3 linked regions of the Drosophila melanogaster genome follow. The main gene of each other region encodes a partner of the protein of the gene in region 3 in a complex. Each region holds a gene or a part of one and is shown on either strand. Other genes may lie near its edges.

Region 1 (3,110 bases), on a different chromosome or scaffold from region 3:
CTAAAGTTTCGGAAGAAACAGCTTAAGTTTGCAAAATCTGCGATACATGATTGGGGATTATTTGCAATGGAGCCCATAGCTGCAGACGAAATGGTTATTGAATATGTTGGTCAGATGATTCGACCTGTAGTTGCTGATCTAAGAGAAACAAAGTATGAAGCAATTGGGATTGGGAGTTCCTATTTGTTTCGAATTGACATGGAAACTATAATTGACGCAACTAAATGTGGAAACTTAGCTCGGTTTATAAATCACAGTTGCAATGTAAGTAAGCTGGATGTTCTGACATTATGTTACCAACATAAAATTTTGTTTTTCAGCCGAATTGCTACGCTAAGGTTATAACTATTGAATCTGAAAAGAAGATAGTAATATATTCAAAGCAACCCATTGGTATCAACGAGGAAATAACTTACGACTATAAATTTCCACTAGAAGACGAAAAAATACCTTGTCTATGCGGCGCCCAAGGATGTCGGGGTACACTTAACTAATACTTATTTACAACAATGAATTAAATATTTTAGAGCACATAAATTTAATTTGTTCATAAAATCCAAAGTGGGGTACGTGTAAGTATATATAGTTTTTTTTATAACTTAAAACTATAATTAATTATTATAAAAATTATATCAACGAGGTCAGAGGTGCTGTTCAAAATGGTTTAGGTCTAAATTAAGCTAAAATACTTTACTTATAAAAACAATATGTATATACTAAAACCCATTTGATCTGTAAACACGAACGAAAATGCAATAAATACATTATCTTAAATTTAAAAATAATTTGCCTTTATACAAAAATGTGTTAAGCAGCTATTGTAAATCATGTTTGAGTGTTATTTGCATATCTAATTGAGCCTGAGCAATGCATTCCAAAGAATACTGCATTTTTTCTAGCAAAAGTTCGCCTTTTTGCACTACTTCCTCTAGGTCTCTTGCAGTTCCCTGGTTTTCGATCTCGAGCCTCTTAAGGCTAGAATTTTGGAGTTCAATGGAGCTGTCTTCATTTGGAAGAGACTCGATTAAGGTGTCGATGTCTTTAGCACATCGTGCAATTAACTGTGCAAATAATTGGGCATAGTCTTCTTGCGGCGGACATGGGATTGGCGTTTGGGGTCCAATGCGTTCAAAATTAACAAATTTACTTGGAAGGGACGTTTGTTGAATTACACCAATAGCATTGCAGAAGTGCTCCGCTTGCTGCAATGATTATTTTACATAAAAAACTGGTTATTTCTTAATACGAAGTCACTTACCTGATTAACGGTGTCTTGCAATTGTGTAAGCCGATCCGCCATTTTACTACAGAGTTAATAATTCTGAAAAACAAAAAATTATATGGAATTAAGTTTGATTAGCCAGTTCAAATTTTGATTAACATTTTTAATATCAACATAACATAATCAACATAATATCAACATACAATGACCGTTGGTGATTTTTATAATATATAAGCATTTATTTATCGATTGATTTTATGTCTTATTTACAGATACCTCACAGCAGCGACTATTCTCTTAAAAAAAGAAATGCTATTAATATGAGTTCCACACTAAAACGTGATTTCTTTCAATGAGACGAATTATTCTTGTTCACACTGTGCCATAATAATGTCTTCATTCCAACGATATAAACTACCATAAGATTGTCGGAAACAGTGGAATCTCCATAATATATGACCACACGTTGCACATCGATCCCTCTTGTCTTGTTCAAAATCATCACAATTTCGGTTATAACAAGGAAGCAGTTGGTCTCCAAGTAGTCTGCAACCTCTCTCACACAATCTTGGTATATCCTTGAGGAGGGTATATCGATTTCAGTTATAAGCTTGCAACGAAGTGAAAAAAGCATTTCAGTCCAATTAAGTGGGTATAAATATCAGTAAGAACAGCCGTACCCTTTTTCACGATAATTATTCTTTTAATTTTTAACATATCTAAATCGGTTCACCATATCTTAAAGATGTCATATGAAAAATTTTAAAGCTACCTCTCTTGTTTTTTAAAGGTTTTTAAAAGCAACAAAGATTTTATGATACGAACACTTTGTGCCTCCGATTAGTTTTCTTGTGAGGGGATTTGAATGGGTGGTCAGTTTTACTAGGTATTTTAATTTTCTTCTCAGTTATTATTTCGATAAATAATTTGATTTTTTTCTCTCTGTGTATGTCTTCGTTCCGAAGGTATCACGCTCTAGTCAGAATTCTCAGAATTGTTGGCTGTTCTCGCTGAATGGATGCCCCACAGGTCGGAGCCATAAGTCCAGATTGGTTTTAAGACGGAGTTGTATAGGAGAGCTTTGAACTCCACGCTAAGTGGAGAGCGAGCATGAGCCAGTGAAGGTTCCTTGCATCTTATTGCGACTTCAGTAGCTTATGTATGTTTTGGAACAATAGCTTGGCTAGTTTAAGCAAAAGTCCATCCAGAAACACTGTCAAATGCCTGCGCGACGTCTAGTAAAATGGCTGTGTAATATTCTCGATGCTCAAAAGCAGTACGAATTTCTGACGTGATTCGATTGGCCTGTTCGATGGTTCCATGTTTTTTCCATGACGAGGGCTTATTCCCAGGAGTAGCATTTTTTCAAATAAATTTTAGAGATAAGTTAGTTACTGTATCGGTCTATATGATGATGGCTGCGTTTTATCTTTTCCTGGCATTGGAATCATTACTATGGTAGATTTTTTCCATTTTTGAGGGAAGTATCCATGCTTGGCGATTGCGTTGAACAACAAGCACATGTGCAGAACATCACACTGGGAGTTCAATAAGGATTTTTTGAGTTATTAGGTCGAAGCCAAAATCGCTTCAGTTGCTTTTTGATAACCTTTGCTAATTCACATAATCTAAGTTTGCTTCTGCTAAAGGAGGGAGAATAATGACTTTATAGCAGGATTTGGTAGAAATAAAATTTGTAAGTGGTCAGCAACTGCTCTGGCTCTTTTCTCATCACTGTCTTTTCTCTACAAAAGGTTCTTAGTGCTGGTGGGCATACGTCACTTTGCACCCGAAACTAGAATATTTTCAACAGTGTCCGTTGACTTGTCTATATTTTCCTTAGCAGATAATGCCGGCGTTAGTTCTATGTGTGATCTGGGTCTGGGAT
Region 2 (3,484 bases), on a different chromosome or scaffold from region 3:
TCCGGTCTGTAAATATGAAAGGAAAACAATTATTATATCGCTAAATGCAGATTAAAAGAGGATAAGATTTCTTTTTTTTAAAGGACTGATTATTATGTAACTTAAATATTATAATGAAATCATCTTATGTTTAATCAAAATACTGGTGCTATCTTTAAAATTAATTAGACTTTCAACATTTAGGTCAAATAATCTCCCCAAATTCTTTAATGCCGGCTGATAAGAAAGAATTTAAGTGAATTATAATGTAAAAATATTTATTTAGGATGTGATCTATCTCTGAATAACTTGTTATTTTTATGAATGAACTGTCTACGTTTTTAGCTTCACTTGTCTGGTTAATTTCTCATTTCTTTATATACTCTGTTTGTTATTTGTTTTTGGAAGCACGAGAACGTGCCCTATCGTCCATTAACGGCAAGCCGGCTTCTGTGATATTAATGCAAACAAAGCCGAAGGGGGCGTAAAGTGAAGCTCGATAAGCGGAATTCTGGACCGAAAAGAGCCAGCAATGGCGACAAGTGGGGAGCACGTGGCCTTGTCTTTCTCCATCTTCTTAACTCTTCAGTTCTGAGTTAAACTTACGCAGCACTTCCGCTAGGGGTCTCCTTCTGCAACTCCGATGTGAGCAGGGCTTCGATCTGGTGCTCCACCACCTGGCACAGGTACTCCACTCGGTCTCCATAGATCTTGCCGCAGTACTGGAGGGCACTTCCTGCGGCCACGATGGCCGATCTTCGAGAGACATCATTTCGTCCTAAGCAGTGGCGCAGTAGCTCTTCAATATACTGAAAATATAAGCAATGTATTTGAGGATCTGCAGGCTTTTGTGTTCACTGTAAATAAAATAATAGATTTTCTTGAAAACCCATTTATATAATTTTAGTTAAAATACCAGTTATCGAGGCATGACTGTAAAACCCACGCACGTTGCGTCACACTTTTATTTTGATCTTTCTGCTCTTCGGCGGTTTTGCTTATCTTGATAATAGTGGTCTTCAACACTCACATATCCCAGTGATATCCGTAGGTCCGTGGAGTAGTCCGTGTTTTTGGAGAGCTCTTCGAGGAGGACGACTAGCGAGGCCAGGTCCTGTTGCTCATCGTAGGCGCGGATGCACTTGGCCACTTGGGTTCCCGGCCGATTCTTGGCTATTTCCAATATCTGCTCCCGCGCTTCGCTCAAGTAGGCTGTGAATTAAATAGAAACCGATTGGATTTACTTAAGCAAAAACCACACACCCAATCGCAGATCCGCTTTATTGTTTATTTCGGCCCTCCCCATACACACACACACACACTCGCATAGAAGCACCAACACACGCGGTATACTGGAAATAGCGCTGACTTAATCAATGGGAAACGAAGATCACGCCTGGGGCTGTCCTGCGTTGGTTACCTAAGTTCTGGATGCTTACCCGCTTCCGCTTCTTCAGGCAAAATCCGCTCCATGGCTCACTAGATGACACTAGGAAAAGTTTGTTTTATGTCCGGTTTTGCACATTTTACTGGCATCGTGCACAAGCACTGCAAGCACGCACACACGCTGAGTGGGGAAATCAAAATGGTGGAGGCAGCACGGCTTGTCTCTTAGTTGGGTCCAGTTATGTTATGGTTTTACGTTTTGTTTTCATTTCTTTGGCAGGAACAGGAATATTGGCGCGAATCGGTGCTGGAACAATTAGCTATTCACATCAAGATATATATGTGTTTCTTATTTTGTTGTGCTCTACCGACGAATGAGGGAAGAGACGGAGAAAAATTGCTATGGCAATGCTGTAGGGGGTGCATGCAAGCATGGTCACCTTTAAGTTATCGATAGCTAGGCACGGTGAATCATTTATTATTTCGAGCTCGATTAATATCTAATTTAATTTTTGTAATTGTAAATTATTTGTCAGTGTCTCAAAACATATTATAATAAATTCTGCTTATTATTGCATTGTCTAGCTTCAAACCTCTAGTGTGCTCATTTTTAAGAAAACAATTTGAGTGATAGTGTCATCACTATCGTGAGTGATTCGCCTGTCTCAGGTGCCATCACTTCTTCAAAACAAAAATCATTTATTATTTTTGTATTTCCGCACTTGTTAATCTCATAATGTCCAACCAGGAGACCCAGGTTTCCAGCCTGCCGATGCCGCCGGAGCGGTACATCGCCAATTACACGGACGAGAATATCCGCCGCAACCGAGCGCCACGCCCACCGCCGCCGCCGGCGCAGCACGAAGTCTATAGCATGTTTGGCATCCAGTACAACAACGACGAGATGATCCGCAGCTTGGAGTCCCAGAATATTAAGCGACTGATCCCCATCCATTTCGATCGGCGCAAGGAGCTCAAGAAGCTTAACCACTCCCTCTTGGTCAACTTCCTAGATCTCATTGACTTTCTTATCCTGAATCCTGACAGCCCGCGGCGCACGGAAAAGGTGAGTCAATTGACCCATTAAAATGTAGCATCTATTGTATTACACTCATTTGATATCTTAGATTGACGATATCAGTCTGCTGTTCGTCAACATGCATCACCTCCTCAATGAATTTCGCCCACATCAGGCGAGGGAAACGCTGCGCGTCATGATGGAAATGCAGAAGCGGCAGCGCGTTGAGACCGCCGCCCGTTTCCAAAAGCACTTGGAACGTGTGCGCGAGATCGTTAATACCGCCTTCTCAGCTCTGCCGGTTCTAGATGATGACGACGATAGCGGCGGAGCAAAGATTAAGACGGAGGTGGATCCGTTGGAGGCGAATGCGGCGGCCAAGAATGATCCCAGTTACCAGCACGATCGCATGTTGTGCAAGCTTGTGGACGCTATCGAGTAAGCTGAGTTGGCAAAAGACTGGACATCGACGCTGGAAATAGTGTCAATCATTGTGAATGGCTTGGAAAAAAGAGCTCCTCATATTTATAACTCCTTTTAGTATAAGAAATAAAACCCCAATTGTGGGATGAGAATCTTGCACGTCTAATGAGTAATTCATTCAATGGGAATTAATGTGTTAAGTCATCTTTGAGATAAGCTTTACACAGATAAGATCCGAGATAAAGGCTCATGATTAAGCATCCCACAAATTTCACCATTAAAATGACGTAGTCAGCGTGGAGTAATAATATAGTCAAATGTCATAAATTAATAATCTATCTAGAACAATTTATTCAGGATAGGAATAACAATATAAATGTATATATTTAATTGTAAAAATTGTAAAGACATGTGACATGACATGAGACATGAACACCTCACACGTTTTCCTACTTTTAATGGGTGCTACCGCATGGCATCATCGTGGCTAGCCGAAATATGCTCGTACAGTGCGTTTCATAATGTACATATACATATGTGGTTTTAATGAATTTGTATGGAGTTTCATCAAAATTACTAATTTTGTTTGATAAACATGATTAAAAAGTCAATAGAGATATTCATTCACAACTGGAGTATAATGTTTTCCCTAAAATTTTTTTAACTCACTGTGCCCTT
Region 3 (8,007 bases):
AGTTACCAGCAGAAGTGTGCCGAGAAGATCATGCGCCTACCCAACTCCCATCTGGGCGAGCTGCTGCGTCAGCGTAGACAGGGCGGCGGTGTCATCAGCTCCATCACACCGGACGAGAATCTGGGCAGGGCCTTCACTCTGGCCCCCTTCTCGCCGAGCTCGGCGGACGTGTACAGCGATGAGGCGTATCAGCCCGGGAGGAGCACTTCTCTCAATCTGGACACGGAATCGCGCCCTACTTTGTCCGGCCTTGACGACATCTACCGCCCCACCCTGGACTGTAAGCTCATCTAATTCTTCGCATTCCCTATTATGATTCTGTACATTCTCCTTCCCAGCAGCTGGTTCAATGCTGGAGGCAGAGTTGCCCTTGGAGCCGTCTAAGCCGGGCCAGTCTTACGAGGACCTGCGACGAAGGAACCGAGAAGAGTATTCGAAGCACCAGCAGAGTCCATACTCGCGACCTTACGAACCACCAGTTGCCGTTCAACAGCGACCCGTGGAGCAGGCACAAAGTGAACCCGCTGGAAGGAAGAACCAATACGGCGACTCCTGGACTGATTAAGGTATTGTTATTTTGTTGGACATTAAACGCGCATAAAGTTCTGTGAAAATTCGTTGTCTATTTACATTTTTTTTTGGGGTTGGAATATTCAATTACTTTCTAGCCTGGTCGTAGTTTTCTATGTACCACTTAACCGAGGCGTTGATTGCCGTTTCCAAGTCCGTAAATGCGTAGTCTGGCAGGAAGGAGCGAAGCTTGGCATTAGACGCAGTCTTTTTGTACTGTCCATCCGACTTGCTCGTATCACAGACCAGTCTTCCCTGGAATAAATCAAGTTAATATCTTGCCTTGTCTCAAATTTCGCTTTTTAACCCACATTAAAATTAAATGCTTTTGCAACGGCTTGGGCCACCTCGAAGATCGTCACCTCCTGCACTTCGTCCGCGCTTAGGATGATGGGCTCCACACTTTCGTAGTTCCTGAGCACCCAGATCATCAGCTCCGCCAGGTCCCGGGAGTATACAAACTGCCGTAGTGGCATGCCGCTTCCGAAAACGGTGAACACCTTGTCGTTTTCGGGGACGTCAGTCTTCTCCGTAACCAGCTGGTGCATCCTATAGATCATGCCCGGAATAACGTGGCTGACCTCTGGATTATAGTTGTCGTGGGGACCGAATATGTTGCACGGAATGACCGAGGTGTACACCCGGCCATATTTATCGTGGTAGGCGTGGTTCTGCACGTCTATCAGTCGCTTTGCGTAGGAGTAACCATAATTGGAGGGGTGCGGCGGCCCATTGTGCACCATGGTCTCATCTATGGGGTAGCTGGTTTTGTCCGGAAAAATGCATGTGGACAGGCAGGACACCACCTTCACGCATCCCTGCTCGTGTGCCGTTTGCAGGACATTGTCGTTAATGAGCAGGTTGTTGCGCTAAAAGTGGATTCGCATGAAATGGGTTTTGGAATCATCTGTGAGACCAGGAGCTCACCAAGAAGTCCAGGTTGTTGTTCATGTTGTGGAACAGGCCTCCGACCATTGCAGCCAGATGGATGACATGCGTGGGCTTCTCTCGGGCGAAGAGTGCCTGCGTGGCGGCCAGATTTCTGTGGAGAGAATTTGTTTACGGATACGTTCAATTGAATTTCTTCATGACTTACGTCAAATCTGCATCTTTAGAGCCCGCAAAAAACCATTGCTCGTCCTCTGGGGACTGCTCCTTGATCACAGCCTCCAGGGCCTTGCCCACCAGCCCAGTTCCGCCTGTAACCAGAACTTTCTTCATGATTTTTGTGCGATTCCACAAATCAAGTCAATTAGTTTCTAAAGTAATTTTCGACTCAATGCGACCAGCTGCTTTAAATGCCGGCTAATCAGTCAGTGCTGCCTGCCTGGCGTTTTTAATCTAATCCTTTAGCTATTTCTTGTTATCAGAAAAAGCCACTTTTAGATTCTTTACTAAGCCCCATTTGGTCACACTGTGCCCAGGTAGTTTTTGTTTATGCGGTGTCGGATATGCGAAAAATAATTTAAATGGATATGGAAACGCAAGTTATAGACACCGTTAACGAGTTTCTGGTAATAGTGAAACCCTGCGTCTCCAAAAAATCACCCACTCATCCACGCTCTCCATTTCGCAGAAGGTCGACTCCCTTGACGAGGCGTTCGTTAGCGTCATTGTATTCAAGCCAAACACCGAGCAAGAACGAGCTACCCGCTTCGCCAATGATTTGGGTAGGTAAATGCGTCTGCTGGAACTCGAAAATTGTTAAAAACTATCTGTTTCAGTTACCGCCTTTGGGAACGTGGCGCAGGAGAACCGGGAGCAGGTGCTTCGGCTCTACCTGTTGCGTGCCGCCGGTGCCTCCGGATATCACATCAAAGTGCTGATGGCGGCACTGGTGAAGCTGGTGGACGCACACGTGATCACCGCCAGGATGCTGTGCGACAAGGTGCTGATGTGCGAGAAACTGGACTTCGAGCACAGGACCTTCTGGATCGAGAGCTTCCGGCTGATCAAGCGTGTGATCGTCCAGGTGGACTACAAGGGTGTGCGCGAGATCATGAAGGTATGCCGCGACAAGGCACAATGGTTTCCGCTGAACGTCAACGTTACCTACATGCCACAGCTACTGGCCGTTGAGGATATCCTGCGATTCATCTTTGATCGCAACAATTGCCTGCTGCCCGCCTACTTTATTGCCAACGAGATTATGCGTCCGTTTCCTTACCACTGGAAACTCAACCGGCTGATGACCGACTTTGTCGAAGAGTTCCGCACCACGGCACAAATGGTTTCGATCATTGGACATGCCAGCATGCTTCCCATCGTAGAGCATTTCGGCTATGCCGATCACATGATGAACTCCTGGCGACTGGACCACAATACCCTGAAGTTTAACTTTAAGGGTAGCCTGCCCTACGAGCCAGAGCTGCTCGAAGAGCAGAAGCCCCTACTCCGCTACGTTTTGGAGCAGCCGTACTCAAGGGAAATGGTCTCTCAAATGCTGAACCTGCAAAAGCATCAGAAGCAGCGCTACAATGCCCTGGAAGAGCAGTTGGTTAATCTCATAGTGCAGGCCATGGAGATGACGGAGGCGAATGATGCCACTGCGGGAAGTGGCTTTAACTCCTCAGACGAGCAGATCACGCCCTACGAGTGGATGTGGCTGCATCTCTCTTCGCAACTAATTTACTTTGTGCTCTTTCAGTTCGTAAGCTTTATGCACATAGTGTTGGCGCTCCACGAAAAGGTAGGTCCATGGTGGATGAAATTAATATTTCTTGTAATTAACTACTTTTCACCTATAGCTTTCCAAGTTGGAGCTTCGCAAGGGTCGCGATCAACTTATGTGGATTCTGTTGCAGTTTATATCCGGAAGCATACAGAAAAATCCTGTAAGATCCTGTTCTCCACCTGATTGATCTTATTTTTAATCGCTTTTAATTTTAGATCACCAATTTCCTGCCTGTGTTCAGATTGTTTGACCTACTATATCCCGAGCTAGAGCCTCTTAAGCTGCCAGATATCAATAAATCCTCGATGGTTCGCCATATGGCACCCATTTGCGTTTGGATTCACCTGATGAAGAAGGCACGAGTGGAAAACATGAACATCACCAGACCATTGCCAATTGCACTGAAAAACCACTACGAGTAATACCTCTAACTTCCTTTGGTGTTTAGATACTAACTGCTTAATTCCCAGCTTTCTGCAGCACCTAGTCACGGCTAACACCATGATGAACATGACGCTAGGAAACGACTTCCGCATAATTCTCATCTGCAATGCATACTCAACGAATCAGGAGTACTTCGGGCGTCCCATGGGTCTACTGCTGGATGCCCTAAATGGCACTTCAAAATCTCCAAACGGTGGCCAAATCCCAGCCGTAACTTTTTCGGTCACGGTTCTGGACAGCTTGACGGTGCACAGTAAGATGTCGTTAATCCACAGCTTCGTAACTCAGATGTTAAAACAGGCCCAAAGCAAGGGTCAAGTTCCAGCGGCTGCACTACTGGAAACTTATGCCAGACTTCTGGTTTATACAGAAATCGAGTCGCTCGGTATAAAGGGATTCCTGAGTAAGTACAGCCTGTTGAAGTGATTAAACAATATGTTTATGGTTTTTTTTCCTCCTAAAGGCCAACTGATGCCAACAGTGTTTAAGAACCATGCGTGGGCCATGCTGCACACCTTAATGGAGATGTTTTCGTACCGGCTGCACCATGTTCCTACTCACTACCGGGTCCAATTGCTGTCTCTCCTTCATTCTCTGTCCTCCGTGCCGCAGACAAACAAGATGCAGCTCAATCTCTGGTTAGTTATACGTTTATCGAGTATAGACTTCTTTCTAAGTTCTTCCCTTTGTATAGTTTTGAATCTACTGCACTGCGTCTGATCACCAGCATTGGATCCGCCGAGTTTCAGCCGCAGTTTTCGCGTTACTTTAACGACAAATCTCCCGGAGCAGTGGCGTCTAATGAGAGCGAAGAGCTAAACAGAGTACTTATTCTTACGCTAGCTCGATCCATGCACGTACATGGTGGCGGCGATGAAATGCAGGGATGGTGCAAGGACTTCCTTTCCAACATCATTCAGCACACGCCGCACTCGTGGCCCATGCATTCCCTAGCCTGCTTTCCGCCCGCCTTAAACGAGTACTTTACGCAGAACAACCAACCTCCGGAGAACAAGCAGCAGTTGAAGAAGGCCGTGGAAGAGGAATATCGAACCTGGACGTCGATGACCAACGAGAATGACATAATTGCGCACTTCTTGCGTCCAACTACGAATCCTTTATTCCTTTGCCTTCTGTTCAAAATAATTTGGGAGACGGAGAACATAAGCCCAGTGGCTTACAAGTGCGTAACATTATGATTTAAACACAATCATTTTTTCTGACCATACCTTTTTTTTTAGAATTTTGGAGGGTATAAGCGCGAGAGCCTTGTCCACTCATCTGCGTAAATTTTGTGACTACTTGGTGGCTGAGGTAGCTAGCTCATCGGATGGCCGCGACTTTATTCACAAGTGCGTCGACACCATTAACAACATGATTTGGAAGTTCAACGTTGTGACCATCGATAGGGTTGTGCTTTGCCTGGCTCTGCGAACGCACGAGGGTAACGAGGCTCAAGTCTGCTTTCTCATAATTCAGCTGCTCTTGCTGAAAGCCAGCGAGCTGAGAAATCGTGTTCAGGAGTTCTGCAAGGACAATAATCCTGATCACTGGAAGCAGAGCAACTGGTAAGTTGGACACTTGATTTTGTTAAGAGCACAAAGGCATAGTTGTTATTATTTCTCAGGCAGGACAAACACTTGTCATTCCATCAAAAGTATCCAGAGAAGTTCGCGTTGGACGAGTCAGCTTCACAGATTCCGCTGCCCGTGTACTTCAGCAATGTCTGTCTGCGATTCCTTCCCGTTCTGGATGTGGTAGTGCACAGATTTATCGAACTTACCATTACAAATGTCCACCAGATATTGGGCTTCATTTTGGATCATCTGAGCATACTCTACAAGTTTCACGGTATGTTAAAAGTGGCTTTCGAGAATTTCATAACTTTAAATTACCCTTTAAATTGCAGATCGACCTATAACATATCTGTACAACACCCTCCATTATTATGAGCGAATCTTACGAGACCGCCCTGCGCTAAAGAAGAAACTTGTAAGATTTGTTATGAATATTATATTCCCTTCTTCTAATACACTGTGTTGTTCCAGGTTGGCGCTATCACCAGCGCCTTTAGCGAGATTCGGCCGCCCAACTGGAGTGTTAGTGAGCCGTACAAGGTGTATTTGCAAAGCCAAGACTCGCTGTGGACCCCCGAATTGAGCTACTATATGAGTTTGATCAGGAGACTTGCAGACAGTAAGCTAGGATTTGGGAAAATACTATGATGTGTTCATATATTCATGCGTAACCCCTTTTATTTTGCAGCAATTAGTGGGAAGAATGTATTTTACTCCACCGATTGGCGTTTTAACGAGTTCCCGAATGCGCCAACCCATGCGCTCTATGTGACATGCGTGGAGCTGCTGGGTCTGCCGGTGGCACCGCCACTGGTGGCCAGCAATCTCATCGATGTTATAGTAAGCGGATATGCGGTTATTCCGCAAAAGGACATTCACAGCTACATTAATGCTGTGGGCATTGTTCTGGCTGCCTTGCCTGAGCCCTACTGGAGCGGCATATACGATCGCCTACAGGATATGCTCAACACACCCAATATGCTGAACTGGACCTACAGATTCAATGCTTTCGAGTTGTTTAACTTCAAGACAGTGCGTGAGGCGATGCTAGAAAAGACCTACGCCGTGGTGTTGGCAGTAGCTCACTCAGTGTTCCATCACATGGGCGCCTTTAAGCTGGCGGCAATGACCAGGTACCTCAAGGAGAAGCTAAAGCCGTGCGTGCGAACCGAACAACAATTGCTGTATTTGTGCCACGTTTTTGGCCCCTTCCTGCAACGAATAGAGTTGGAAAAACCGAACGCTGTGGCTGGCATAGCCGTGTTGCTTTACGAAATTCTTGAGATCGTGGACAAGCATCATGGTCCGAAGCCTCTGCAGTACATGGACCAGATCTGCGATTTCCTGTAAGCAAATCCACAAAATCGCATGAAAGGGTACTAAACAAATGTGTTTGTATCATTTCAGCTATCACATTAAGTATATACATGTGGGTAATATCATTAAGAACGAATCGGAAGCCATCATTAAGCGGCTACGGCCCCTGCTGCAAATGCGCCTGAGGTTCATAACCCACCTTAACTTGGAGGATATTCACACTGAAAAGATGTAAGGGCCATTTAATTCAAACTCTACTTCGGTTTAAACATAACTTTTCCAATTTCAGCAACGACAATACCAGCAATAATGCAATAACCAGCCAAACGCAGTCTCCAATGCAAACACAGCATCAGCAGCAGCCGCAGCAACCACATCAGCAACAACAGCAGCAACAACAACAGCAACAGCAGCAGCAGCAGCAGCAACAGCAGCAACAACAGATGCAGCAGCAACAAATCAACGCAGTACAAACAACCAGCGTTCCCTTGGGCAGCGGTGGCAACCTACAGCAGCAGCAGCAAATCAACCAGCAGCAACAAATGTATATGCAGCACATGCAGCAGCATCAGCACATGCAAAACATGCGCCACAATTAGACTTTGTGGGACTCCCAAGTCAGTTCAAGCTGACATAACGACATAAGCCTAATTTATAGTAGTATTATCTTATATTTTATCGCTTATTGCATTATTCATTTTCCATTGAATGTGTAAACAGTTCTCAGATATGTTTAAGTTAGATACTAAGGGAACTTTTTGTAAGTCACAGCTGTCGGCCCAAGTCCTCCCTCCAGCTTTACAATCAAAAGCTTGACTTAATAAGCCCAGCTTAAAGCTCTTCGTAGATAACCTGTAGTTGGTGATCTTGTCCACCTCGAGCGCCGTTCTCAGTTGTGATCGCAGAGCACTGCGATGTATGCGCTTCCGGGAATCCAGATTCTGTTGCTGATTGCTTCAGTCAGCGTGGTGACCGAGTACTGCGACAATGGAACGGGCGAGTGCAAGGAGCTGACGCCCTCCGACTGTCCAGTGATATTCTACAACCAGCACCTGATCGGAGCCGAAGTCAAGTACTGCGACGAGTTCAACGACATTGTCTGCTGTCCCATACCGCTGGATCACCAGAATCTGAAGCCAGCCGAACAGACGAGGCCTTTTGAGAAGCGTGAGGAGTGACTGCAACAATTCCCTTCGATTGATGGAATTTGAATATTCGTTTTTTTTTTTTAGAGTGCAAGCAATACAACGAGGTCAGATCCGCCTGCCAGTCCACGCCCTTCATCGTGGGCGGCACAAAGGCATCCGGTAAAGAGTTTCCCTTCATGGCCCTAATCGGCACTCATCGGCCCAACAAGTCCAAGTCGGACATCAATTGGGATTGTGGTGGATCCGTGGTGCATCCCAAATTCGTACTGACTGCGGC

The links. The genes of interacting proteins can lie anywhere in the genome.
Region 1: MED23 (region 3) and MED21 share a complex: the UniProt entries of both Drosophila melanogaster proteins name them as parts of the mediator complex.
Region 2: MED23 (region 3) and MED7 share a complex: the UniProt entries of both Drosophila melanogaster proteins name them as parts of the mediator complex.

What each region holds. Positions count from the first base shown.
Region 1 is NT_037436.4:25,114,404-25,117,513, forward strand, and holds MED21 (mediator complex subunit 21), read right to left. Parts: upstream 1,544-3,110; 5' UTR 1,426-1,543; exon of another isoform or gene 1,322-1,425; 5' UTR 1,301-1,321; coding exon 1,259-1,300; intron 1,203-1,258; coding exon 816-1,202; 3' UTR 521-815; downstream 1-520. Other genes in the region: Set1 (SET domain containing 1), read left to right, coding at 1-264, 321-494. UniProt on the Drosophila melanogaster protein: Component of the Mediator complex, a coactivator involved in the regulated transcription of nearly all RNA polymerase II-dependent genes.
Region 2 is NT_033777.3:10,759,551-10,763,034, reverse strand, and holds MED7 (mediator complex subunit 7), read left to right. Parts: upstream 1-2,002; 5' UTR 2,003-2,101; coding exon 2,102-2,431; intron 2,432-2,492; coding exon 2,493-2,825; 3' UTR 2,826-2,964; downstream 2,965-3,484. Other genes in the region: Cap-H2 (chromosome associated protein H2), read right to left, coding at 1-6, 586-788, 1,010-1,191, 1,419-1,452. UniProt on the Drosophila melanogaster protein: Component of the Mediator complex, a coactivator involved in the regulated transcription of nearly all RNA polymerase II-dependent genes.
Region 3 is NT_033778.4:22,886,969-22,894,975, forward strand, and holds MED23 (mediator complex subunit 23), read left to right. Parts: upstream 1-1,959; 5' UTR 1,960-2,045; coding exon 2,046-2,084; intron 2,085-2,146; coding exon 2,147-2,240; intron 2,241-2,294; coding exon 2,295-3,259; intron 3,260-3,317; coding exon 3,318-3,404; intron 3,405-3,459; coding exon 3,460-3,662; intron 3,663-3,714; coding exon 3,715-4,091; intron 4,092-4,151; coding exon 4,152-4,326; intron 4,327-4,382; coding exon 4,383-4,871; intron 4,872-4,929; coding exon 4,930-5,256; intron 5,257-5,315; coding exon 5,316-5,539; intron 5,540-5,597; coding exon 5,598-5,680; intron 5,681-5,736; coding exon 5,737-5,884; intron 5,885-5,953; coding exon 5,954-6,611; intron 6,612-6,672; coding exon 6,673-6,813; intron 6,814-6,871; coding exon 6,872-7,181; 3' UTR 7,182-7,457; downstream 7,458-8,007. Other genes in the region: asrij, read left to right, coding at 1-280, 339-565; Gmer (GDP-4-keto-6-deoxy-D-mannose 3,5-epimerase/4-reductase), read right to left, coding at 658-825, 882-1,439, 1,498-1,612, 1,667-1,791; CG3700 (uncharacterized protein), read left to right, coding at 7,497-7,749, 7,815-8,007. UniProt on the Drosophila melanogaster protein: Component of the Mediator complex, a coactivator involved in the regulated transcription of nearly all RNA polymerase II-dependent genes.